Sus scrofa: one gene and its partners. The main gene of each other region encodes a partner of the protein of the gene in region 4 in a complex. Links are inferred from orthologs where the notes say so. Each region holds a gene or a part of one and is shown on either strand. Other genes may lie near its edges.

What was found.
Region 1: the proteins of MED13 (region 4) and CCNC are in contact, whole or in part, in a cryo-EM structure (PDB 8TQC), measured with the Homo sapiens proteins. The link is inferred for Sus scrofa from reciprocal best matches to the Homo sapiens genes MED13 and CCNC. Residues at the interface, in NP_005112.2 of Homo sapiens: Tyr1342, Ser1630, His1631, Val1732, Lys1733, Thr1734, Thr1736, Phe1738, Gly1739, Pro1740, Gly1741, Ala1743, Arg1897, Met1898, Ile1901, Asp1905; in NP_005181.2 of Homo sapiens: Gln7, Gln13, Trp14, Leu16, Gln19, Lys23, Gln26, Lys27, Arg75, Tyr76, Glu144, Leu145, Asp147, Cys148, Ser221.
Region 2: MED13 (region 4) and MED4 share a complex: the UniProt entries of both Homo sapiens proteins name them as parts of the mediator complex. The link is inferred for Sus scrofa from reciprocal best matches to the Homo sapiens genes MED13 and MED4.
Region 3: MED13 (region 4) and MED23 share a complex: the UniProt entries of both Homo sapiens proteins name them as parts of the mediator complex. The link is inferred for Sus scrofa from reciprocal best matches to the Homo sapiens genes MED13 and MED23.
Region 5: MED13 (region 4) and MED7 share a complex: the UniProt entries of both Homo sapiens proteins name them as parts of the mediator complex. The link is inferred for Sus scrofa from reciprocal best matches to the Homo sapiens genes MED13 and MED7.
Region 6: MED13 (region 4) and MED31 share a complex: the UniProt entries of both Homo sapiens proteins name them as parts of the mediator complex. The link is inferred for Sus scrofa from reciprocal best matches to the Homo sapiens genes MED13 and MED31.
Region 7: MED13 (region 4) and MED18 share a complex: the UniProt entries of both Homo sapiens proteins name them as parts of the mediator complex. The link is inferred for Sus scrofa from reciprocal best matches to the Homo sapiens genes MED13 and MED18.

The regions. Positions count from the first base shown.
Region 1 is NC_010443.5:66,475,755-66,479,254, reverse strand, and holds part of CCNC (cyclin-C), read left to right. Parts: intron 1-1,962; coding exon 1,963-2,042; intron 2,043-3,351; coding exon 3,352-3,470; intron 3,471-3,500. UniProt on the Homo sapiens protein: Component of the Mediator complex, a coactivator involved in regulated gene transcription of nearly all RNA polymerase II-dependent genes.
Region 2 is NC_010453.5:19,550,601-19,554,657, reverse strand, and holds the start of MED4 (mediator of RNA polymerase II transcription subunit 4), read right to left. Parts: upstream 2,801-4,057; 5' UTR 2,753-2,800; coding exon 2,625-2,752; intron 1-2,624. UniProt on the Homo sapiens protein: Component of the Mediator complex, a coactivator involved in the regulated transcription of nearly all RNA polymerase II-dependent genes.
Region 3 is NC_010443.5:31,991,207-31,994,706, reverse strand, and holds part of MED23 (mediator of RNA polymerase II transcription subunit 23), read right to left. Parts: intron 3,161-3,500; coding exon 2,944-3,160; intron 1,059-2,943; coding exon 822-1,058; intron 1-821. UniProt on the Homo sapiens protein: Required for transcriptional activation subsequent to the assembly of the pre-initiation complex. Component of the Mediator complex, a coactivator involved in the regulated transcription of nearly all RNA polymerase II-dependent genes.
Region 4 is NC_010454.4:36,332,259-36,336,540, reverse strand, and holds the start of MED13 (mediator of RNA polymerase II transcription subunit 13), read right to left. Parts: upstream 2,801-4,282; 5' UTR 2,661-2,800; coding exon 2,595-2,660; intron 761-2,594; coding exon 526-760; intron 1-525. UniProt on the Homo sapiens protein: Component of the Mediator complex, a coactivator involved in the regulated transcription of nearly all RNA polymerase II-dependent genes.
Region 5 is NC_010458.4:66,113,273-66,117,395, reverse strand, and holds the start of MED7 (mediator of RNA polymerase II transcription subunit 7), read right to left. Parts: upstream 2,801-4,123; 5' UTR 2,521-2,800; exon of another isoform or gene 2,226-2,520; intron 1-2,225. UniProt on the Homo sapiens protein: Component of the Mediator complex, a coactivator involved in the regulated transcription of nearly all RNA polymerase II-dependent genes.
Region 6 is NC_010454.4:50,731,681-50,734,969, reverse strand, and holds the end of MED31 (mediator of RNA polymerase II transcription subunit 31), read right to left. Parts: intron 1,742-3,289; coding exon 1,549-1,741; 3' UTR 501-1,548; downstream 1-500. Other genes in the region: TXNDC17 (thioredoxin domain-containing protein 17), read left to right, coding at 120-188. UniProt on the Homo sapiens protein: Component of the Mediator complex, a coactivator involved in the regulated transcription of nearly all RNA polymerase II-dependent genes.
Region 7 is NC_010448.4:85,382,604-85,386,884, forward strand, and holds the start of MED18 (mediator of RNA polymerase II transcription subunit 18), read left to right. Parts: upstream 1-1,481; 5' UTR 1,482-1,682; intron 1,683-2,243; 5' UTR 2,244-2,312; coding exon 2,313-2,385; intron 2,386-4,281. UniProt on the Homo sapiens protein: Component of the Mediator complex, a coactivator involved in the regulated transcription of nearly all RNA polymerase II-dependent genes.

The DNA of each region.
Region 1 (3,500 bases), on a different chromosome or scaffold from region 4:
TGATGTCAGTAGTGCCAAGGTTGAGAAACTGAGCTCTAAAGAACTGTTTTAAATGCGGAATTTGGAAGTTCTTGGTGGCCTAGCAGTTAAGAATCTGACATTGTCACTGCTGTGGTATAGGTTACAGTTTAATCAGAGCTGCAGCTGCTGGCCTATGCCACATCCACAGCAACGCTGGATCCTTAACCTGCTGAGCAGGGCCAGGAATCAAACCCACATCTTCATGGATACTAGTCAGGTTCAGAACCCACAGACCCATAATGGGAACTCCGTCCTAAGAACCTTCTACATGCTGCAGGCGAGGCCAAAAAATAAAATAAAATAATAAAATGCAGGATTTATACCCCTATTAAAATCTTTCAGTGCTCCTCCCAATTTCTGGATAAAATTCACACCTTCTTTTTACCATTTCTGCTCCCAATTCACATTTTTGGGTTTTTTTTTTTTGTTTTGTTTTTTGTTTTTTTGTCTTTTGTCTTTTGTCTTTTTAGGGCTGCACCTGTGGCATATGGAGGTTCCCAGGCTAGGGGTCTAATCAGAGCTGTTGCTGCTGGCCTATGCCACAGCAGCGCCAGTTCGAGCCGCGTCTGACCTACACCACAGCTCATGGCAACACCAGGTCGTTAACCCACTGAGCGAGGCCAGGGATCAAACCCGCAATCTGATGATTCCTGGTCGGATTCGTTTCCACTGCGCCACGACAGGAACTCCCCAGTTCACTTTTTTAAAAAGCTGACTCCTCTATCTTGTTAGTGGCACTTTCTGTATCACCTCAGTCTGGGTTTAGAATGTCTCCTCTGTTCCTAATTTACTTTATGTGTGACTTATGTCATTTTCCACTGTATTTTCATTACCTGTATTTATTTATTCATTCATTCATTCATTTTCCTTTTTGGCCATACCCATGGCATGTGGAAGTTCCAGGCCAGAGATCAAATCTGAGCTGCAGCTGTGACCTCCACCACAGCTGCAGCAACACCAGATCTTTAACCTTCTGCGCCAGGCCAGGGATCAAACCTGCTCTGCCACAGAGATAAGCCAGATTATTAACCAACTGTGCCACAGCTAGAACTCCCTAATTACATGTTTTTATAATTTGTCTTTTGATCTCAATCTGTCCTTGACCTAAGCCTTACTTTACAGCTTTGTTTAACATAGGGCAGCCAGTATGTAAGTTCATGTTTGAGTTGCTGTTTGCCTAGAATATCCTTCTTAGCAAAGTCTTATGGGTAACCAGACTAGGGACTATAACACTTAACAACTTTGTGTGGGATCACTATAGCCAGGCTGGTTGGGAGAATTATATTAGGTAAATTTATGATGTAGATTGTTGCCTCTGAGTCTTTCACTATCTTTGTTAGTTTATGTTGTAAATAATGTATATAATTACATTGTGTGGAGTATATTACTTTTTTTCCCCTCAGCTCTATTTGATTATAACATCAAACTCTGTGCTAGTGTGCCCAGTTTATACCTAACTTGATCTTATGTTAATAACTTTAAAAAACAGAGGGACTGCTACTTTTAATTGAAATACCAAAACATAGTCAGTGTTGTTGACATTTATCAGTGTTTTGATTGCTAAATTTTTGTTTCTTTTTGTCACATGGACTTTTGGGTGCATTTTCACCACTGCTTTGTACTGCTGTTCAGGGATCCTTTCCTGCTATAGTTCCTCAGTGGATTTTTTCCTCTCTGACATGCCCTGACTCTCAAGGCAACCGCACCATGACTAGCTCTCAGTGGGGAGAACTTTACTATATGTAGCCCAATAACTTTTCCTATATGTAAGATTAAATTAATAGGGTGATCACTGGTAACTGTTACATGAATCTATATAAATATTAAAAGGAATATAAGAAAATACACATAAAGTTTTAGGTGACTTTTAAAATCTTAAGTGAGTCCATGCATTCCATGTTTGCACTTAAAACATGGACCTTTGTCTCATTTTCTTTCCAGCCTGCCTGCATGTAGCCTGTGTTGTACAGCAGAAAGATGCCAGACAGTGGTTTGCTGAGCTTTCTGTGGACATGGAGAAGGTAATTTTTAAAGTTTCCTTGACTGAATGTAAACTTGAACATTTTAAAATTAATGTTATACTTACTTACCATGAGACTCAAATTTCATGATGTCAGCCAGGCTAAGAATATTTTTGGTAAAGAAACGCTAAGAAATATGTGACTATTTAGGTTATATTTCTCTTCAGTTTAGGCTTAAATAGAATGGTAAATTTAGGGTTTGATGGTTGCAAAGCAGCCTCTAATTGCCAGGATTATTTTATTTTATTTTATTTTATTTTAATTAAGTAATTAATTAATTGTCTTTTCTAGGGCTGCACCTGCAGCATATGGAAGTTCCCAGGCTAGGGGTCTAATCAGAGCTGTAGCAGCCAGCCTACACCACAGCCACAGCAGCTCAGAATCCAAGCCTCATTTGCAACCTATGCCACAGCTCAGGGCAACGCTGGATCCTTAACCCACCGAACAAGGCCAGGGATCTAACCCACAACCTCATGGTTCCTAGTCGGATTCGTTAACCACTGAGCCACGATGGGAACTCCAAGGATTATTTTAGCTCTGATTATATTTTGGCCGAGCCCTCAGCATGCAAAAATTCCCATGTCAGGGATCAAACCTGAGCCACAGCAGTAACAATGCATAATCCTTAGCTACCAGAGAACTCCTGGGACTGTTTTAAAAGCTGCCTGGTGACAAGTGACCTAGTGAATACTACTGTAAACTTTTGTAATACAGCCTATCTCCTGACAAAGTAGTTTTTGCCCTTTTTTCTACCTTTTTTGCTGAAATATTCTAGAATCAATCCAAGGTTAGGTCTACTCAGGTGAAGAAAGGGCAGATTTGGAAAGCAGATTTGAGAGATTTGTAGCTGCTGGTTTTTGAGCACCTTCACTCATGTGTAGCGTAGTTAATAGAGAATCAGAACAAAGTCTTTTGTGCACTACTGCCCACTAAATTATTTGAAATGATTGTTATTAGAGGAGTATACTCTGTAGTGGCATACTCTTCATAATCTAGACCTCTGTTCCTTAGTACCTCAATATTTTGGTTTGGTTTAAGATATCAATAGATAGAAGGAAACTAACTGCGGAGATGGATAAGGATAGACCAGGTATACATATTAAAGATGAGAGGTTAGGAGTAAAAGCCGAAATTGCTGTATGGTAAAAATAGTGCTTTCACATTTATCAGGATTGTCTAATCTAAGCTGAAGGACAGGGGCAATCTTTTCACTGTTTTCTGAGGGATATCTAATACGTGATATGTCTTCTTTATATACTAAGTGTTGCTTGATATTGCCGTAGAGAACTTTTCAAATATTTTCTTCTAGATTTTGGAAATAATCAGGGTTATTTTAAAACTGTATGAGCAGTGGAAGAATTTTGATGAGAGGAAAGAGATGGCAACTATCCTTAGTAAGATGCCGAAACCAAAACCTCCTCCAAACAGGTACTTTGTAGACTTTATATATTGATTTTA
Region 2 (4,057 bases), on a different chromosome or scaffold from region 4:
ACAGAGGCTAGATCCTGTAGTACTGGTGATTACAATGAGGAATACAAATTAACGAGAAATCCAAGCCTTTTTGGCATTTGTGGACAATGGGAAACAGAAGAACTTCAGAAGAACTCAGCACCCCAAGTGATGCAACAGGAAAGCTGAAGAAGTTTCTGAAACACTGAGGTTCTTGAGGAAAATCTAAATGAAGATCCAAAACTTCAGTAGGTAAATACACTTTATCAAACAGATAATGCTACACTCAAAAATCAGGAATCAAATGTGGATATGCACTCCTCCAGGTACTGAGGGCATCAGGTAAACACACCTCAGATACCCAACCCAGGAGCCAATCAATCCAGAGGCAAGATGGAAAGATTTGACTTCAGGGTTGTTCAGTGTCAAGAGACATTCTCAAAGACCGTTATCCTGGAAGGGCAGGTTTAGAAACAGTTCCTGAACTTGGTGAATATGAAATATATACTACGGTTACTCTGCAAGTAAAGCAGAGAAAAGAAATGAATTTACTGGGTTCCAGATTAGAAGGGTGAGAAGTAACAGTTCACCGAATAAACCAAGGCAAAGATTTAAAATTATCATATTTCAAATTTCAATTTCTACTCAAAACCCAGCATCCACTACTTCCCAAAAGAGGTATCACTTCTTCACAAAGTCAACATATTCATAGAAAAATTAATTGCTACCACCTACATCACATAGTTGGTCAAAACGAAGAAATTATAAGGAACATTTTTTACTTGACTAATTTTACACTCATCATCTGACAGTTGGTCCTATCTATTTATTTATTTTTTGTTTTTTTAGGGCCACACCTGCAGCATGTGGAGGTTCCCAGGCTAGGGGTCGAATCAGAGCTGTAGCCGCTGGCCTACACCACAGCCACAGCAACCAGGATCTGAGCCATGTATTCGACCTACACCACAGCTCACGGCAACACCAGATCCTTAACCCACTGAGGAGGCCAGGGATCGAACCCGCAACCTCATGGTTCATAGTCAGATTCCTTTCCTCTGCGTCACGACAGGAACTCGGATACTTGAATAATTTAACTGAAAACCTCATACTCGGAGAACTCAGTCTCGCCAAGGTCTTTTTACTAAGAAATCATGCTGATATTCATCTGATAGGATTAACTAAAGAAGCTGACAAATTCTCCACAAGCCAGGAAGTGAATCAACATGAAGGAAATAGCACATGAATTAATCTGTGTGAACATTTACACAGAGGAAACATTAAGATTGCTGTCTTATGCCCATGAGTTCCTTGTTCACTGTACTGACGCCAAAATTCCACGTGTCCTTTTTGTCACTACAAGGTATTTCAATCTAATAGCCTAAACAGTGAATTAAACACATAAGCTATTTAACTTCCGGTGTCTATGTGTTTTTACATTTTTAGCATCAGGTTACTTAGTATATTAAAACATCATTTGGTATCACATTGACCAAGGAATCTGGTAAGTAATGCTTGCCATGTATGGCAAGGCCTGAACTCACAGCAAAGATAAAAATGTAATTATTAGTAGATCAGATAATACAATTACAGACATACCTCAGAGATACTTCAGGTTCAGTTTTCCACATCAATGCAATGATGTGACTACCACAATAAAGTGACTCAGTTTTTGGTTTTTCAGTGCATATAAAAGTTATGTTTACACTATACCGTAGTCTATTAAGTGTGCCATGGCATTATGTCTAAAAAACAATTATACATTAAAGAAAACAGCATTAATTTAAAAATAATGCTGACGGAAAAATGGTACCAACAGACCTGATTGACACATGGTTGTCACAAACCTTCAATTTGTAAAAAATGCAATATGTGCAAAGTGCAATAAAGTGTAACAAGGTGTGCCTGTATATAGTAAGATTTAGAATGTTGATTACAGAAAAAGGGACACTTGAACAGGATTCTGGAGGATAAATGAATCAGGTTGGAGGTGGAGTGGAAACGCACTGAAGAAAAGGAAGCTGGGAAGCAGTTCACCGAGGCTGGAATAAAGGATATTACTGGAGGGCTGAGAAGTGCAGCGACAACAGGATGGATTAACAGGATGAATGCCCTTGCTGGACATTCTAAGCTAAAGAGTCTGAATTAACTTCCTCTAGAGAGTGCATTCGTTTCTCCAGGGAGCCTGCCCTGACGACAAGGGGGACAGACGCCTAGCGCCCCTGCTGCAGCAGCCTCCAATCCAAACAGGCTCCGCGCCACAGTTACTGTTTACACGTCTGTCTACCCCGGACACTGGGCTCGTCTACGTCAGTATCTAGTCTCCCTCAGGACCGTCTCCCAGCGCGGGACCGGCGGGAGGAGCTCCTTACATGTCTGTCGAAGGCCGGTGGACGAAGCGACTCTCCCGGCGACCTCTAAGGTCCCTACGATTCTGAGAGTCTGGGGTTCCAGAGTCACTGGCAGTATTAAAATGTCCTCTATGGGGGTGGGGCGGGAATGCCGGCGAGTCCCCGAGGGTTGCGGGCCTACGTCCACGACCCTCGCGCACTGCCTCCGAAGCGCGCGCCGCAGTCCCGGAGTGCGGCCCTCCCCGCCGAGACCCAGGAACCAGCCTGAGTCAATGCTCCCGGCCCAGCTCCAGCCAGGCCCCCAGGCGACGGCCTCACCTGGACAAGACCTCTAGGTCTTCCAGCGCAGAAAGCAGCCGCTCGCGAGTGCTGTTGCCGCTCGCCGCTCCCAAACCGCCGCCGCCCGACCGCTCCTTCTCCTTCTCGCCGCTCGAAGACGCCGCCATCCTCCCGACACACTAACAGCCGGCGCGTGCGCAGCTGCGCTCTAAGGAAGAGTGTCGGTCCGCGGGCGGAAGGAAGGGTCACAGAGGCGAGGTAGAGAGCCTGGGCCAGAGCGCCCCCTGCGCGCCTGGAGGTGTCTTGCAGGCGCCGGCGCCATCTGCTGGGCTAGTGAGGGCTTCTTGGGTCCAACCCGCGAGCGAGGGCCAAACCCAGAACTGGGGGCCCAACGCGGTCAGGTTTCCAGCACCTTAGCTTATTCAAGCAGCTGCTCAGTGGAGTTTGTTTGTTTGTTTTTTCCTTTTTTTTGGCCGCCTCGCGGGCATACGGAGTTCCTGGGCCAAGGATCAAATCCCAGATACATTTGTGACCTACCAATCGCTGGATCCTTTAACCCACTGTGCCAGCTGGGGATCAAACCCGCGTCCCAGTGCTGCAGAGATGCCCCTAATAGTGTTGGGCTGTGCCACAGTGGGAACTCCTGCTCAAGGGCATTTGTGGGAATTACATAATGGCCTGCATCTTGTGTCAGTGTCTTTGAGCAATGGGCCGGGGACCTACCGGATTTATCGCTGTTTAGTCTGCGTTCCCATAATGCTATTTCCACCCTCTGTTCGGGCTCTCAGGGAGGCTGTGAGCTCTTTAGGACAGGAAATGTAATCCTTATTTTCTTTAATTTTTTTTTTCTGTGGTCACATGCATTCAGCATAAAATTACTGTGTTAATGGTGTGTAAGTGTACAATTCACTGGAATTAGGTATATTCATATTGTTGTGCTACCAACACCAGCATCCTCTGGCCTTTCTGTAGTCACACCCCTTCATTCATTCGGCTCCAGTCATTCTGGTTCTCAAGCACCAGGACGCTCCTGCCTTAGGGCATTGGCACTGCTGTTCTCCCTGCCTTCATGGGTTGCCCCCCAGAAAGTCACAAGGCCATCTGCTCTTGGGACACAAACTGCACTTTCTTCGGGACCCCCACCCTGGCCACCTTGTTTACAACTGCCGTCTCACCTCCACCTTCCGCCACCTTTACCCAGCTCTTCATTTTTTCCTACAGCATTTGTCATCTTCTAACATTTCACCTAAGTCAGTTGATGTGTGCTCTGCTAATTGTCTCCTCCACTAGGATATAAACTCCATGAGGGCAGAGTCTCTTGGAACTTCTCAAAGACCTAGCCCCAGTCTCAGAATACTGTCTGAAACACGGTGAGTCCCAATAACTATTATTGGATTTGTTGTTGACAGAGGTGCTGAAATCATCAGAAACTGAAAACAAACTGTAGTTATCTATAGTTTTGCCTCTAATTG
Region 3 (3,500 bases), on a different chromosome or scaffold from region 4:
TAATAAGAAAATTTCTTTAGCCTAAGTAATTCTTTTACTTCAGGAAATAATTCCTTTGTGTAGTAAAATAAACCTAGTAAATAGTGGCATGGTGTACAATGTGCTATTAAATACAATGTGCTAATTACTTGAAATAAAAATATCAATATAGAATTTCTCACTAAAAAAAAGAAAAAGAAGTTTTATTACTATCTATTAATGCTTTAAAAAATTCAGGTTTTTATTTAAAGCAACAAAATTCTATGTTCTCTGGTGGTGAATAGATGCATGTACTACAAGACTTAGTACATTTATTTAGGAATAGGATATTTTTCTTTGAAATAAATCTCTTCTCTAAGGTCTTTTTTCTTTTTTTAGGGCTGCATCCACAGCATATGGAGGTTCCCAGGCTAGGGGTCTAATTGGACCCGTAGCGCTGGCCTACATCATAGCCACAACAACGCAAGATTCGAGCTGTGTCTATAACCTATACCATAGCTCACGGCAACACCGGATCCTTGACCCACTGAGCGAGGCCAGGGATCGAATCCTCCTCGTTCTCATGGCTAATGGTCAGATTCGTTTCCGCTGAGCCATGAAGGCGGAAATATAAATTTTTAAATATAAATTTTTTTAAATATAAATTTTAGTGGAGTAAATTTCTACCTACATGGCATGCTGCTACTAATTTAAGATTTCAAAACCTTTACAGAAGCAAAAATTAAAACATAAAACATTAAAAAACCTGAAGTCTTGGAACATATAAAAAGACAACATATGTTCACACATATCGACATACAGTTATTTCTGCAGAGACTGGAAAAGCACAATAAAAAGGATATTATCTACTAGTCTGCCAATCAATTTGCAATAGTAGGAGTCATCGGGGACCCAGGGATTGTCTTCTCGTGCGTTCATAGCACATTTCAGGTAAGTGTCACTTAGACACCAGCCCTGTGGTCGGTTATCCTTGAGCGACCCAATGATTGCATGGACAAGTTTTCGTTTGAGACTTTCACGATTTCTCAGGTGCATTTCATAATAGTGCAGAGTATTATACAAATAAGTTACTGGACGATCTGCCAAGAAGAAAAGAGGTCACTACAATGTTTACCTGGTTACTGACAACTGTGAAAAAATAACCTTCTATTTTTAAGATTACCAATAAATAGCTCAGAAGGTTATGAAAACTACTTCACATGTTGGCCAAGTGCATACAATGAATGTTTTTATCCTAGGACAAGGCAAAAGGCTTCTAACAATATACAGAGCTTATATTGAAGGATATTTATCACATTCTGAGGTCACAATTCCACTTCTGGAAATTTACTCTGCAAAAAATGTCATAAATGTAAGCAATGTCGCTGAAGCCCTGCTTATACCAGCAAAAGATCAAAACAGCCTAAAGAGTGAAAAACAGTGGACAGGTTAACTTAATTACCGCATATAAGAAGCAGCTTTGTATGTACTGATACAAATTTATCAACCCCAATACATTAGAAAGGTTAGAAAGGTTAAAAAAAAAAAAAGGTGCAGAACAATGTGTAGTATTACATATTTGTGGGAAAAAGACTACCAACCTCACAATATTTATGGTACGATACACAAGAAAGTGGTAACAGAAATTGCTTATAGAGAAAGAAACTGCTGAACTAGAGCACAGGCTTGGGACTAACTACTTTACACTTCATTATGTGCATATATTATCCGATCCAAAAGAAAAGTATTTTTATTTTTAAAATTTTTTTTCTTTTTAGGGCTGTACCCACAGCATACGGAAATTCACAGGCTAGGGGTCACATTGGAGCTGTAGATGCAGGCCTACACCACAGCAACGCTGGATCGTTAACCCACTGAGCAAGGCCAAGGATTGAACCTGCATCCTCATGGATGCTATTCAGATTTGTTTCCGCTGAGCCACGAAAGGAACTCCAGAGAAGTGTTTTTAAAAGACTGCTCCCTTGAACTTCATACTTACTCTACAGTGCTAAAACATAATTCAGATTTGTTTTGGAGGAAGACTTCTTACACCAAGGATTAAGAAGAACTACCCCCCAAATAAACACTCTGTCCCCATAGTGGCTACTCCAAGACTTCCACACTCTGTCACTGATTTCACTATTCTCCAGTTATCAAGCTTAAAACATCATAGAGCTGTCTTTGCTTTCTTTTGATATTCCCCCCATAACTGGTCAATCAAGCCCAATTCTTACTTCCTTGACTATCTGTCCCTTCTTTCTCATTCAAGGCCATCATACTTGTTTAGATGCTAATACAACTGAATGTCTTGTTATAAGTCTTTAAAATGACTTCCTCCTTCCAAGTTGTCCATATTGGAATTACAACTGACTAGATTTATCTTTCTAAAATAATACTATGACATGACTTAACTCAGTAACTTCTAGTTAATGCTTGATTATCTTTAGGTTATAAAATCAGAACTTCTGAGCCTGGCATTTACGGTGATCTGCCATCAGGTACAATTTAGCCCAACGAGACGACTGTTTTCAAAATGCCTTGTTTTTAACATCTCCATGATTCTTCCAAAAGATTTTTTCTGCCTAGTATGTTCTCTTCTCCTTCCTATTTATATAAATCCCATACATCATAGTTCAAACCCTAACCATCCAAGAAGCCCACTAAGATCTATTTAGTTCACAGTAACACCAGTCTGTTCTGAACTTATTTTTTTTCCTTCTGTACTGATTTGGAAATTAATCACACAATATATACAACAAGGCTTCTCTTGCATATTACTTTTTTTTTTTTTTTGCTCTGATCTGTTGATATTTTTATGTCATTTATTTTACATTTCATGGCATCATCACACATACCTCCTCTCAAAACACTTATATTAAAATTATTAAAATAAAACCTTTAGAATCACCATTATCCATTTGGTCATGACCAGCCTACTTTTGTCTACAGGGCTATTAGATGGAATTAAAATTTGAAAAAGCTCACCATGAAATTTATACAAGCCTCCCAGGTGATCTAGTAGAGTCTCCAATGATTTGGATACTGGGAGCAATTCTAAAAATCTGTGGATTACTATATCAAATACTGGAAGGAAGCGGAGACACACATTTCCAAAATAGATGGGCAGGTAGGGAGACTGGATCGGCACAGGAGGATCAACCTGCTCTGCCAGGCCCTCAAAATAGAGCTTCTCCGGATATTTCTGTGGAAATGAGGAAATGGTAAATGTTGAGGCATGTTTTTTTTTTTTTTCTCCTTAAAGGAGCTAAACTTGTCGTTTTTCACAGAATCTGAAACTGTTTGCTGCTACAATAAAATGAAACTTAAGAGTCCTTTTATCCAACAAAAAATCTCTACTGTTTCAAAGATACATTTACATACATAATTCTTTTCATTTTTTAAGTACTCATGTCTACTAAAACTATAGTTTTAATTTATTCTGAACATTACAGATAGCCTCTAGAACCTTGAGAAAGTTAAGAGAGCTAATTCACTTCTATACGGACCAGAGAGAAAACAGTAGAGCTGCAGAGAAAACAGCC
Region 4 (4,282 bases):
GGATAACAAAATTAACAAATGCCTTCATATGTTAATTTTTTAAGAATTGCAAATTTAAAAAATTACTATATGCCTAAAAAAAAATATGAGAAAATTACAACACTTCTAGATACTTCTACAACGGTCTGCATATTCATACAGAAGAAAGCAGTGGCAGAAATGACTCAAAGATGAATTAAACTTGGCTTCAAAAGTATTTTATGACTTTGTTAGGTAATGTTCCCCTGGTTACATTTTTAGGGTAATTAATGTAGCATGCCTTCCTTAGGCCCTGTCTGCCAAAAATTCATGAGAAAGCTAAAAAGAATAAAGAATAAAGTTTTTAAAGCCTTAAAAAGCCTGCCATAATAAGCATAATTCTGAGTAAAATAAAATAACCAGTGAAATGAAACATGAAGCTGAAATTTTATCTGGTTTCATACCCAACAATGTTCCACCCCCCCTCAATCTTAATTTGTAATACAAACGTTTTTGGGAAGAGTATACATGGCTACATCATTAGTTAGAAATGTAAGTTGCTTTCACCTGACAAGTCATGGTGAATAAGGTCAGCAAAATTGGGGTCTTCACCCCACCAAAATATCCACAATTCTCTTCTTCCAGGTCTTTGATCTCGCCGCCAAACACCAAGCACATCTGCCTTAAGGCAGCGACTAAAACTGCTCAAAATGGGGTCTTCCTCTGTCACCGGAAACAGAATAGGGGCAGAAGTTGGGCCTTGCCATACATATCTTTTCCACTTAATTCCCGTCAAGTCAGCCTGAAGAAAACAAAGTATGATTTTTTTATTAGGGCATATTCACTCAAAATCAAAAGCACTTGCTTTAAAGTCTCTTCATTAAGTCATTACAATTTTTAATGTATGCTCAGGATATCGAAAGCAGATTGACCCCAAAAATGTTTATTAGTTCTGATAATTCAATAACCAAAAATCAAAGGAAAAGAACAAAAACAATTTAAAAATTAACACTGACATGTCACTAAATAACAAGTCAATAAATGTGTCCCAAGGAGAAATAAAAGAAGCTTAATATTAAACATAAACATGTACTTTAACATTGCACACTGAGTAAACATTTGCTCTCTGTCCTAACTTCTGTTCTGACTGGTTACATTTGTTCCTTGGTGACAAACTTATAACAGAAAATTAATTTTTAAAGACTCATCATTCCATGTTTATAGAAGTCATGGCTCTAACGAAAAGAAACCTGAACTACAACTGAAAAAAAAATCTTGTTAAATCTTTACATATTCCTTTTAGGAAAAGTCAAATAGCTGCTGACAAAGAACCGTCAGATTTGTGCTAGTCTTATCTTCAAAGAACCTGATCCTAAAAGTACCAAAAATAGACTGAGTTGGAGAAGACAGAAATGTAAAACCCGCTGTCTTCTTACAGCTCAAGAGATGCAAATTAATGGACACTGTACAAGAAAACATTTTATTTTTTAGATAAAAATTAAAGATCTCAGTTTAGCATCGTGAAAAGAAATTCATTAGAGCGAACTTGTAATTCTGAATCTAACTTAAAGGTGCAAAGCGCAAGGTGCCAAAAATGAAACTGCTGATACATGACTGGCAGTTTACACTGGCCAACTAGTTGTGCTCCGCCCACTCAATTCACTTACCTATCACACACTCTCTTAATATTTCTCATAGGATAGGGAAAATGAAAAAAGAAAGTCACCTAAACTTTAAATCACTGATGAAGCTAAGTTACTATCCAATTGAAAACTAAATATTTGCAACAGTTGGTACTTTTGAAAGTCTTTATTGGATGTTCCCAGATCTGGGCCAACGTACACAATTATCATCCCTAAATCTAGCTTTCCCTGACTTTCCAATAAAAAAAGGAACAGCCCCCTCAAAATATGCTAAAAACGAAGGCAAATTAGACAAATACAAAAATATTTAGTGCAAAACCACAGCACCTCCTCCTCTGGTTCGCTCCACTCTCACAAACATAATGTTCTAATAAAAGCAAAATGGCTAAAAATTGTCAAAATGGCAAGTTGTTTTCAAAGTTTGAAGAAAAAACATATGAAATGGCATCTACTCCTTTTTACACAGAGCCTGAAGTCGCGCAAGGAAGAAACCAACCCCCCTATATAGTTTGACTCACAATAAAAAATGGACAACGAAAAGAGTGCTTAAGTTCCGGGGTCCGCTTTTTGGGGGGAAACCAGATGAGCAGAGTGAGACAGAAGGAGAACGGGCAATAATGGGTAAGTGTGAAGAAGGGATACACGGTCCATGAGGAGGAGAGCAACAGTTAAGCAAGAAACAGAGGGAAAGGCTAGTGTCCTGCCGGATAAGGAGCCCAAGTTAAAGACCAGACTACCAGAGGAGGGGGAAAAAGAGTCAGAAACGAGAAAAAGGGCCGACACTCGAAACACAGCGCCCGGGACCGCCGGAGAGGACCGCGGCCGCCGGGCTGGTGCCGAGCTGGCCGCCGCGCCGGCTCCGGCTCCGGCTGGGCCTAGCCCGGGGACTCCGGCATCTGGAACCGACCCGGACCCCCTCCCCCACGGCCCAAGGGCGCACCTCGCGGCCCCTCCCCCAACGCCCGCTCGCCGTGGCCCCCGCCCCGCACTCACCAGGCAGAAGAGGTTACAGTGACAATCTTCCAGGCTGGCCCCGTTCGGCACGAAGGAGGAACTCATCGTCCCTCACAGCAGCCGTCGCCGGCGCCACAACCCACCATCCGCCATTACCGCCGCCTCCGACCAGAGAGAGAAACACAGACACCGGGGAGGGCGGGGGGGTGGTGGTTGGGGGGCGGTGGAAGAGGAGGCCGCCGGGCCGCCCGCCCTCCCCACCCACCCCCCCGCCGCCGCGAGCAGTCCCCGCCGCCCGGCCGGCACCCAGCCGCCCGGGGCCGAGAGCCGGAGGCGGGAGGGCCGCGCCGCGCTCGCCCCGCGGGCCGGACTGCGGCCGCCGCGGAGCCCGCGGACGCCCGTCCCTCTCGGGGACAGAGGGGATGTGTGCCCCTGCCACAAGAAAATATAATAAATTACACAATAAATAATTAAAATCGAGTCCGAGAGGGCAGATCCCAGGCCCTGGAGGGCTCTCCCGGGCGGGGAGGCGCCCGCAGAGGGGCGGGAAGGGCGAGAACCGGGAGAGAAGCCCAGGCCCCCGACCCGGCAGCGGCGATGTCCTTAAGCCCAGAGTCTCCTCAGTGGCGGAGGTGGTGGCGGCGTCTGCGGGCTCAGACCATTCTCTGGCTGTGTCTTCGTGTCGTCCCTGGGCCAAGCCGGCCTAACGTCCGCTCTCCTGCGGCCTCACCGCCGGGACGCCGTAGTCTCCCCCATTTTGTGGGCCCAGCGGGCGGTGTTTTTCCCCCTTTAATCCGAATTCACGGGTTTTCCCTTCGCTTTAATGGCGGCCACAGGGACCAGCTCGCCCTCTCTGCTCGCCCATTGGCCGCCTGGAGGTCACGTGCGCCCGGGCTCCGTGGGGAGGGGGAGAGAGAAGGGAGCGAAGGAGAGCCGGGAAGCTTTCAGCAGAGGCGGTGAGCCCAGGGGGACTGGGCAGCCAGCTGGTGGCTACTAAGATAGCGCCATCTGCTGGGTGCCCCGGCCACCGTGAGATGACCCAGGGCCCTGGCCCTATCTTACTTCTTCCCGGGGAATTTACAGGGTTCACATAACAAATCTGGGAATTACGTTGAAATCCGTTTGAATTCCTTAGAAGTGTTGCAAAAATTCCTAGATCTTCTCCTTTATTCTACAAGGCCACTGGGGTGCAGCGCAAACCCGTGGGCCTGGGAGTTAGATCTGCGATAGGACTCAGCCGCTTGAAAGTTGTGATATTACGAACGAAACGTAAATGAAACAATATAGTCATGCGGCTAACAGCCTGGGAGTTAGAGCCCCACTGCTTGGGTTTGAAGCTTGAGAGAATCACTTACCTCTCTGTCTCAGTTTCCTCATCTGTAAAATGAGGAAAACATATCCCCTGCCTCACAGGGTTGTTGTGGTAATTGAATTAATACAAAGAAAGCAGGTAGACAAGTGCTGGGCACAGATATGCATTGTTTAGACTGATCTATTGTTGTTGTCATCATTACCTCATATGGTTATTGTAAGGAGTAAGTGAACCAGTGTATGTAAAGTGCCCATTAGAGTGTCATCTCCAGGAGAACTGGGACTTACTTTGGTTTTCCGCTATCTCTCTGGCGTCTTAAAAAAAAAAAAATTCCTAGCACACAGTAGGTGCTTGATACCTGTAAATTTGCAGATGAATTAATAGTAAGAAGTAGGAACCCAATAAGACATTAGTT
Region 5 (4,123 bases), on a different chromosome or scaffold from region 4:
CTTACCTGGAACACAATGGCTTCACCAGGGATTATTTCATATTCGTTACTATTCTTCTCTATATACCAGTCAACCCAACTCTCACACCACATTCCTTTTCCCTTCTATCCTAGAAAAAATGTTTTCCAGTATTCTTATACAATTCTTTACACCAACCTCTCCTGCCTTTGGGTCTTTCCATATGATTTTCTTCCTGCTTCAGGCACTAGCTTAAAATTGTCACCTCTAAAGATATTACTTCTCTGATTATTCATCAAAAACAGATTCTTCCTTTCCTCTTTTACTCTCTGTACCAGAATCTGATTTGTTGCCCCAGTCAGACTATAAGCTACAAGGGGAAGGACTATAACTATCACAGCTCTCACTGTGTCAATTGCGCACAAAAGCTTCATAAATATTTGCTGGTAGCTCCATTCATTTCAAAAGGGTTCCAAACCAGTGGAAATTTGGAAGTAGGTACAAACATCTTTAACATGCATTTATTCCTTCAAACATTTACTGTTTGTCTAATATATGATAATGATGATTATGACAGATAATATTTGTAGTGTATACTATGTGCCAGACACTGTTCTTAATTACTTTTCTCATGGTTATGAGAAATCTAAGAAAAGAAAAGTGCTCTTTCCAATTTGGAGATGAGACCACTGTGGCTCAGAAAGGTTGACCCACTTCTATAAAGTCACAGAGTAAAGGAAGGATCCAGAGTCTGAGAATGTCAAACACTACACCATTCTCTCTCTTAAGAAACACTGCCTCCATCCTAGCGTTGCTTAAAAATCTATCAAGGAAAATGGACAACAGATAACTACACGGCTTAAGGGTGCTACAAAAGACCAACAGATCTGACTACCAAAAACAAATCTAAAAACCATATAGAAAAGTATATCATAAACGAAATTAAAAAACAATCCCATTTTTCTGGGAGAAGAATGCTTGCAAGCTAACAAAGGACAAATACTAGGAATTTAATTTTGATTTTTTTACTGACTCCATCCCCACAAGAAGAAAAGCACTACGACTTCAGGAACTGTCTGTCTTATTCAAAAATGTACCTCCAGTATTTCAAGCAATGCCTAGAAGGTGCTAAATCCTCAATAAAGATTCAATGAGTTGTGGTTGTTTTTAACCTATATTTTTAAAAATTAATAGAAAAACAGGCAAAAGATGACAAAGAAAATGGAAATGTGAATAAAAGCTTGAAAACATTCAGACTAATGCACCGTTAAAAGCAAATTTTAAAAAGGATCCTTCCCATCTAACAGACTATTAAGATTTCAACTATTCCATCATTCAACAAACATCAGAACACCTTCCATGCAGTGGGCCCTGGATCCCGGACCTGGGGCTCCCAGAACACTCCCCTTCCTCTCGGTGCCCTCAGAGTGGCCGTCTCAATTTTAGAAGCAGGTTTCCCAATTTCAGAAGCAGGCTAGGGGTCAATTCCGAGCTACCGCTGGCGGCCAATGCCACGGCTCACCACAAGGCCAAATCCTTAACCCACTGAGTGGGCCAGGAGTCGAACCCGCAACCTCATGGTTCCAGGTCGGATTCCTCTCCGCTGCGCCACGACGGGAACTCCAGTATCACTGTTTTATACCCTCCCTTACTTAAGCTTCGTAATATTTCTGTGAGTTTAATACCACTATCGATTTCATTTTAGAGCTGATAATTACAAGTCTGTCTCATTGAGAGGGAGTGTCTGCAACCAGATCAAAAAGCTAATAAATGGCAGAGCAGGAATTCTTATCTAGGTCCTTTTTGTTGCACCATCAAGCTCTCTCAAATCAGTGAAGTACCAAGAGCCTAACAATACAAAAAAAACTTGATATACTACAGAAATTATGTTTCTCTCTCCATCACTTCTCTCAGCTGAACTTGTCAAAAGCGATGGAAGTCTCTGGTAAAACCAGCGCCAGGCATCACAGGTGGTGATCAGATTGAAGATCCACCTTTCAGTGTCTGTTTCGTTTTGGAGGACTTAACTAAAACAGAAAGGTATTCCAGGGTGCCAGTCCCAGAGGTTTTGCTCACTTCTCTACTGTGAAGGGGGACGCTTAAAAGCTGCCTTCAAAACCTCTCTGGATGATCTGATGATGAGGCTATAGTTCTACCTCCTTCCCAGCCTCCCACTATTTCATGTGATTAGAGGACTGATCCCCGAGGGAGGGTTGGTTATCTCATAAAGCCGGAGGGGCCAAGAGACTTGCAGAGGCTACACAAACCAGCGGCACACGACTGGAACTCAGCTCCCCGGACCTCCGGCGCAGCTCGAGATCCCGACTCGGAAGCAGCCCGCAGCCCACTGCGCGGAGAGCACCTTCCTCCAGGCGCTCTACCCGGCGGCTCCGCGGGGGTCGGGGAGGCCGCGCTCCCCGAAGGGCGCGGGAGAGGAAGGTGGGCGAGCACACTATGCGCCAAGCCTCCCACCACTCCCAGCCCGCCGGGAGGAAGCGGCGGGGTCCGGAAGGAGAAATGCAGCGGACGGAACCGAGCCCCAAGTCGTCGCCGCCCACTCACCTCGGTACTGGGTTTACACTGGTAACCGCCTTCGCCACCACAGCCGAAGTCCAACTTCCGGCCTCCTCTTCCCGGAAGAAGCTACTGGTGCTGTCTCTTGACTGGCGGAAAGAGCTGTCCTTTAACCCAGGCTCTAGTCCCGCCTCAGACCGATGGCTCGCTATTGCGCCTGCGCATAACCTCCTCTCTCCCCGCTCTTTCCGCGATTTGGCGGCAGCCGCAGGGTTTGGGGTGTTGGAGTCTTTTCTTGTGCTTTTTCTATCAGTAGCAGTGGCACGTGGTAGCGTCGTTTCTTTTTTTGCTGTTTTTTTTTAACGCTTAAAATTAAAGCATCCATATGCCTTACATAAACTTTAAAAAATAGAGACAAGCAGCTATTTTTAAACGTTACATTTAAAAAAATGTTACCCCACTGTCAAAAACAACATTTAAATAAATACATAAATAAATAATTTTAAAAATAACCTTAAGAAATGAGATTGGACTCCACATGCTGGAAATAATTTGGAACATGGAAATCTTAATCTCGAAATATGTGTGAAAATGGTTGGGAAGCAACATATTCTTAATTTATATTTCTTCACCGTCCATTCAGTTTTATTCACGTATTCAGATTCTGTTACATTTCCAGGCAACAAATTAACAAGCATAAAACAAAACGATATGTAAGAGTTTCTTCTGGAGGCGACTTTCAAGAAGTGCTACACATTTCTAAATTTGTGGGAATCTTACAAAAAAGCATGCTACCAAGACACGGCTCGGATCCCGCCTTGCTGTGGCCCTGGCTTACGCTGGCAGCTACAGCTCCAATTGGACTCCTAGCCTGGAAACCTCCATATGCAGTGGGTGCAGCCCTAAAAAGACAGAAAGACAAAAAAAAAAAAAAAAAAAAAAAAAAGATTTTTTTATTCCAGTTTTTAAAACTTACTATGAAGCGTTCCAAACATATATAGAAGTAGAGAATAGTCTCTACTTTCAATTTCAATAATTATCTACCTATAGACATTATTTCAGTTCAGTATGCATTTCTGAAAGATAAAGACTTGTTTGGGGGTTTTATTGTTGTTTTCATTGAACCACAGAACCACTGTCTCATTTAAAAATAAGTTAATAACTTGATTTAGTTTCATCAATGAAATCAGTATGAAAATACCAAATGTCTGAAGATGCAATGAAGTCTTTTGTGACTAGCTGATGTATCTTTTTATTATCTTTTTTTTTTTTTTTTTTTTTTTGGCTTTTTAGGGCCACACTCCAGGGCATATGGAGGTTCCCAGGCTAGGGGTCTAATTGGAACTGTAGCTGCTGACCTAGACCACAGCCACAGCAATGCAAGATCCAAGCCACGTCTGTGAACTACACCAGAGCTCAGGGCAAAGCTGGATCCTTAACCCACTGGGCAAGATCAGGGATCAAACTTTCATCCTCACAGATGCTAGTCAGGTTCATTAACTGCTGAGCCACAATGGGAACTCCTCTTTCTATTATCTTTTAATCTATAGTTTCCTTCCTCCATTTCAGTCCCCCCCCCCACACACATCAATTTATTTGTTGAAGAAATATGTTCACTTTTTTTTTGTTTTCGTTTTTTGGCTTTTTGACT
Region 6 (3,289 bases), about 14 Mb from region 4:
TGTTACAACTAGTTGATAATTTCTGTTCCAAGATCTGTGTCATTCAAGGCAGAACTCATTCCCCTCCTAATAACATTTTTGTAGTGATGGGTTAAAATAAGACTGTTCTTCTTTTACAGCCTCAAAAACTGGTAGAATCTGAGTGTCTTCAGACCAACCTCGTGGAGATGTTGTTCTCTGAAGAGTAAGATTTGATGATGGCAATTGTGTCTTGATTTCCTGATTTGCTCTAGTATAAAAGAAACTGCACACTTGCTTTGAATTCATGTTAGCAATAAATAAATGATGATTAAAAGAAAAACTGTGTATGTCTAAATAATAGAGAGTACAATTAAAATGCTCATGAACCCTTAGTCTGCTTTAATATATGGATATGTTTGAACTAAGGATAAACTAAGTCTTCAGGAGTAGCAGTAGTAGCCCAAAGGGGAGGATATTATTGGAGATGGGCAGAAATATCTAAAAGCCGCTGATAGTGAAGAAGATAGTTTCCAGACTTCTAAAGAAGTTAGGATCTTTTACTTTAAATTCCATGAACTTACAAAAGAACTGTTATCCTAAAACATCTTTGGCTTTAGAATGTAGAACTTAATCTAACCACTGAAGGATAGCAAGGCACATCTAATCCAGCCCCTGCTTTTGTTTTACAGCTGTCTGATTGTGCGGGATGAGGCAGGTGGCGGAGAGGTCAGAAGCCATACAACCTAGTGGTGGGAGGCCATATAACCTAGCCTTTTAGCCAGTCTCACTGACTATCACCTACTAGCTGTGTAACCACAGGCAAGGTTCCTAACTTGTCTACACCTAAGTGTTCTCCTTTATGAACAAGGACTGTTCTAAGGATAAAATGAGAATGCAACTAAGCACTTAACATAGTGCCTGGTTTGTGGTATCTGCCAAAAAAAAAAAGTTAGCTTTCCCAAATGAGCACAAGTATCTGAGGCACCTCACCTTTGTTATAGTCTAAGGTCGAGAGTCCTATTAGTAATTAACCACAAACACTCCCTGACCTCAATTCTCCCTTAAGGCTCTCCTGCAAAGTAGCTGGTGCTCCAGGTATGCCTCCTGCCCTGCAGAATGTAGGAAATTTATGCAGTTCCTGCTTTGATGTGTAGAGGTCACTGATTCCACTTCTCTCACTCCTTAGAAGGGTGCCGTAGCTGATCTGAGGGGACAGCAAGGTTCCTAGAGACAGATTTGCCCCTGGTCCCACTGTTCATCATGAACAGTTTTGCTTAAACTTTGGGATATTTGGTGGCTCTCCCCTTGCCCCAGCTCCCCAACTCTAAAATTGGTCTGAAGCACCTAACATTTCTACTCTTAGTCAGTTGACTATTAAATACTAATGAAAGCTTACAGATCCACAGAGAAAGAACAATTCTAGTTTAAAAGAAATAATCTATTGAGAATAAAAAATTAGTTCAATTAAATAGCACACTATCGGTTCTGGGTGCTGTCACAATAAAGGTTCGGAGCAAGAGTCTTTTTCTGTCTTCATGTACAAAAGCAATATATACATGTCGTAAGAGCCTGGTCTGGATCAGCTTTTCACTTTCCTGATGTGTTATTTTGCTGTTGCTGCTCTGCCAGGGCTTGCTGAAGGCGCATCCGCTTCCGGGAATAGTGCTGCCAATGCAGAATTTGCTGCTCATCAATGAATTTTGCACATTGAGCATTCACCAGCTCCTTGCGGAAGTGTTCATATTGGAGCAGTTCTAACATGTGTAAACACTGAGGGTACCTGGGGTTAAGTTTATAAGTTAATTATCAACATAATTAAGTCAATAACACCATGCTCTAGTTGTTATTCAAAAACGATCCTGCAGCCTACCATTTCTACGGTATCATTTGTGTTACCATACCAGATGATCCTGCAACCTAACATTAACTTAGTCTATCTTGATAGTACAGTTCTTTTTTTTTTTTTTTTGCTTATACAGAAAAGCTTATCATCAAAAGCCAGCAAAATTTTCAAAAGTGAGCAAACTTAAATTTAGAAAGATTAAATAACTTGCCTAAGACTACACAATAACTGGTAAACAGTCAACATTTGGGGGCAAATCATGCTATTCTATTCCAGTGGTTTTCAAGGTGATAAACATGAACACTATTTATTTTAGTAATTGTGGGTTTAATTAACACCTATTGGTTTTCCATAAATAATGATAAAAAGACAGCTTTTATTTTAAAAGTGAGTCAGTTTCAGAAAGAACTATGCACAAATATTGTATCCTAGTTTTCCATAGGGATATAACAATTTTGAAATTATGTACATATATGCTAAGATTGAGCAAATACATAAGTATGTACACTGTAAATAGCCAAATATCCAGCTCTCAGGAAAGGAATCTCAGATAAGGAAGGGGGGAGGCTAGAAAGAATCCTGTTGTTGAGCTGGAATTGAAAACATCAGTATGAACTGAGTGGCTTTTAACATATAGAGACAGATACAGAAATAGACACATAGACACACACACACACACACACACACACACACACACACACACACACACACACACTGTTCCTTGCTTTACGTGCAGAGAAGGCCTAGAAGCAATGGCACTCCAGTACCAAGAGTACACTGAGTATCCAGGTCGTGGGTTTTAAATAGCATTATCCAGGGTTTGTTGGCATAGCTAACACAGGGAAAGAACAAGATGAGCCTGGAATATATGTAGTGCCAGAAAGGAAAATGCTCTAAAGATTAGGCGGCTATGTCAAAAGTCCTCAAGAGCCAATTTGAAGGGGTTCCCACTGGCTACATCTGGGATCACTAGCATAAGAAAATAAAAAATTACAATCCACAAGATAAAGAATCCATATTGATTTAACCTTTTAAAATGAAGAAAGAAATCAGAAACAAGGAAACGTTCCTTCAAGTGAATTCCAACTAATAAATGAACAGAGAATGATGGAATCAAGAATATCACCACAGGAGGTCCCGTTGTGGCACAGTGGCTAACAAATCCGACTAGGAACCATGAGGTTGCGGGTTTGATCCCTGGCCTCGCTCAGTGGGTTAAGGATCCGGTGTTGCCAGGGGGGTGAGCTGTAGTGTAGGTCGCAGACACAGCTCGGATCCCGCGTTGCTGTGGCTGTGGTGTAGGTCGAGGCTACAGCTCCAATTAGACCCCTAGCCTGGGAACCTCCATATGCTGCAGGTATGGGTGTGAAAAGACAAAAAAAGAAAAAAAAAAGGCATCACCACAGAGGAGTTCCCATCGTGGCTCAATGGTTAACGAACCCAACTAGCATCCATGAGGACTCAGATTCGACCCCCGGCCTCACT
Region 7 (4,281 bases), on a different chromosome or scaffold from region 4:
ATGGTTCCTAGTCGGATTCGTTCCTGCTGCTCCATAGTGGGAACTCTGAGGCCTCACATTCTTATAACATTTTCTCCATCCCTATAAATCATGAGTCTTGTCCAAGTTTTACCATATTGTTCACCCAATTCTTACCTATTCTTTTTTTTTTAATTTAATCCTACTTTTGAAATGTCAGATAAAATGTGGGTAATATTTTTTTTAAGTTTAAAAATGTAAATGAGTAAGACAGTATAAATTACAGCAGGGGAAACTGGAATTATAAATGACTGTATAGGAGTTCCCATCATGGCTCAGCAGAAATGAATCTAACTAGTACCCATGAGGATGCAGGTTCCATCCCCAGCCCCAGTCAGTGAGTTAAGGATCCAACATTGCCATGAACTGTGGTGTAGTTGCAGACTTGGCTTCGATCTGGCACAGCTGTGGCTGTAGCGTAGGCCAGGGGCTACAGCTCCGATTCAACCCTGGCCTGGGAACTTCTATATGCCTTGCTCGGTGAGTTGGGGGTCCAGGATTGCCATGAGCTGTGGTGTAGGTCACAGATGCGGCTCAGATCGCACATTGCTGTGGCTGTGGCATAGGTCAGCACCTGAAGCTCTGATTCAACCCCTAACCTGGGAACTTTCATATGCCAGGGTGCAGCCCTAAAAAGAAAAAAAAAAAAAAGATGTGTAGCAATTAAGAGGGTGGGTTCTGAAATCAGGCAGCTGCTTAAATTTGTACCCCAGTCTAAACTCCCTGGTGTGTTATTTCTTGATGCCTAAGTTTCTCCATTAGTAAAATTAAGTAATAATTATACTTGGGTTACAGGGCTGCTGTGAAGATCAAAAATTCCAATATTTTGTTCATTAAGGATTTTTTTTCCACATTAAATTCGTAAAAGATTGCATTACAATTTTTTGAATTGTTAGGAGTTTTGGTGCCCCTTAAATTTTTCGCTCCAGGGAGTGCCTCAACCACCATACTCTAGCTCCATTCTTTGCATTTTACATGCTTGACACACAAGCAACATTCAATAAATGAGCTGAATTTACTTATCTCCCAAAATTTTTGAATTGAGGTAAAATAAACACAGAAGAGTGAACAAATATCAAATGTATTGCTGAGTTCCCTAATTGTTCAGAACAGTCTGCTAAACAGTAAAAGATGTCTTTCCTTCTTATCTTCAGGTACTCAACCAAAAGAAGTTTTGGTTTTATGATCTCTTTTTTTCTTCAGCTCTCTTCCCCCGGCTCTCTTTTCCCCCTGTAAGTTCCAAAAGAATTCCTTGACAAAAACAACTCCAGGCCGTCACACTTGAAAAAAGGAAAATATTTTCCGGGAGGACTGCCTTTGATGTCAAGGTCCCCCTCACGCCCCGAGGAACGCGCTCAGGAAGGCCGCCCTCTTCCACGCAGAATCGCAGTTTGCGCATGCGCTTCTACTTGCCAGGCCGCAGAGATGATTTTTATGCCTTCCCGGCACCCTTACGTCGCAGAATGGTGATGTCAAGATTTGCGCGACGGAGACTTTTTGCCGGAAGTGGAGGGGAGAAAGTGTTGCACTCCACCGGGGGGTGGGGGTCTTCAAGTTCAGTGCTGGGGGCTAATTATCGCTAAAAAGCTCCGAGGTGCTCTGGTGGCTTCAGTTCCCTGCTTTGCCAGAAAAGGCTAGAACACGCGCGGAGGTGTGTTTTTGGTGTGAGTAGGCACGCGTCGATGGTGGGGTAGGAGGACCTCAATCGTCAGAAGAACTTCGCACTTCTGTCTGGCTCGCTTTCAAAGGCGTTTTGAACGCCTAGATTTTTGTCTGGTTTATCTCTGCCATGGACTTGCTCTGTATCCTTCCCTCCAACCCCCACCCAAAGTGTCAGTATCCTCATCTCCAAATTGAAGGGGAGTCACCTCTCAGTTCTATTATTTCACGGCTATTGTGTCATCTGAGCCACAAAGCCTTGGGGGTTAAATGTCGACCTCATTTTATAAGGAAGACATTGAATCCCAGGGTCAGCGGTTTGATGGCTTATTGCACAGGAAATTCTGAAACTGAAGGTTTCAGACCTTGAGACTGAAAGATTATAACTCCATGATCAGGCCTCCTTTGTGTATTTCTGTATCATCAATTCCTGAAACTGACTTATGGAAGTTGTTCAAAAAGTTCTGGATGAATGAATGAATCTTTTGATGTTAAGGCTAATGACCCAGGTAGATCTGGTGTCTCTCCATCTCTCTGATGTATTAACAAGCATAACTCTTTTCCAGGTGTGTCCTGTGCTTTATTTGACTGGGACTCTGAATCCGGTTCTGTTGCTTTCAACTTAAACAGATAGCATGGAGGCACCTCCAGTCACTATGATGCCTGTCACCGGGGGCACCATTAACATGATGGAGTACCTGCTGCAGGGTAAGTGAACTAGGGAGCTTAGATTACCTGATTTCCTCTTTTCTGTTCAGGTTCCATGGAGATGAAAGGCTAATATACAAAGGCTACATAATTTCTGGCACCTCTTTTTTTTTTTTTTTTCAATTTGGCTTTAATTATGGTCACAAACATATAGCATTAAACATTTTGAGCATAACATTTAGTAGTGTTAAATATGTTTGCATTGTTGTATAGCCAATCTCTAGAACTTTTTCATCTTGCAAAACTGAAACTCTGTACTCATTCTTCCTTTCCCCTCCCCCCAGCCCTTGGCAACAACTTTTCTACTTTCTTTTTTTTTTTTTCTTTTTTTATTTTCTTTTCTGCTGAACCTACGGCATATAGAAGTTCCCAGGCCAGGGATCGAACCCACACCACAGGAGCAGCTCTGGCAGCTACAATGACAACACAGGATGAGTAACCCACTGCACCACAGGAGAATTCCAAACCTTTCTACTTTCTGTTTCTAATTTTGACTACGTTAGATAACTTTATATGAGTGGAATCATATGGTATCTGTCTTTTTATGACTGGTTTATTTCACTTAGTATAATGTCCTCAGCGTTTACCCGTGTTATCACACGAGACAGGATCTCCTTTCTAAAGGCTGAATAATGTTCTATAGTATGTATATACCACATTTTCTTTATCTGTTCTTCTGTTGTTGGACATTCAGGTTGCTTCCACCTCTTGGTTAACATGGATAATGCAGTGAACATGTGTATGCAAATATCTCTTCCAAGATCCTGCTTTGAATTCTTTTGGTTAAATATCCAGAAGTGAAATTAATGGATCATATGATAATTTTATGATACTATTATTAATTCTTGTAGATCAGGAAATAGAATTGAAGTAACTTGCCCAGATGAGAAAGCTCAAAACTCAGTGTAATGATTTTCAGGAGGCCTTATAATGTTTCGCAAAAAAGTTTAGACTTTGAATTATCCATTTAAGAACTTAATATGGAAGTTCCCGTCATGGTGCAGTGGTTAATGAATCCGACTAGGAACCATGAGGTTGCAGGTTCGATCCCTGGCCTTGCTCAGCGGGTTAAGGATCTGGCGTCACCATGAGCTGTGGTGTAGGTTGCAGACACGGCTTGGATCCCACCGTTGCTGTGGCTCTGGCGTAGGCCGGCGGCTACAGCTCCTAGATTAGACCCCTAGCCTGGGAACTTCCATATGCTGGGGAGAGGCCCTAGAAAAGACAAAAAAAAAAAAAAAACTTAATATGAACGAAGTAGGGTTATTAACTTTCATTCTTCCAGCTGTCCCTCCTTCAGTCTTTTCCATCTTAGTAAGTGCCTGTCATTCACCAGTTGCTCAAGCTATGAATTCAGGAATCAATCTCCATTTTTTCACTTTATTCTCACCTATAGCTTATCTCTAGTTCTGTTTATTTTACTTCCAAAATATATATTAAATATGTCTTTTCTCCACATGCAATGGCTTGGTTTATCATCCTTTGAACTATTTTAGTAATTTTGTGCTTATTGCATTGCTTCCACTTTTGATCATCTGTCTCTTCTCACACAATAGTTCAACATCTTTTTTTGGGGGGAGGCAGTTTTTTAGGATCCTTAACCCACTGAGCGAGGCCAGGGATCGAACCCGCAACCTCATGCTTCCTAGTCAGATTCGTTAACCACTGCGCCACAACGGGAACTCCAGTTCAACATCTTTTTTAAAAAATGTTTTATTATTAAAAAATTCAGGGAGTTCCCGTCGTGGCGCAGTGGTTAACGAATCCGACTAGGAACCATGAGGTTGCGGGTTCGGTCCCTGCCCTTGCTCAGTGGGTTAACGATCCGCGTTGCCGTGAGCTGTGGTGTAGGTTGCAGACGCGGCTCGGATCCCGCGTTGCTGTGGCTCTGGCATA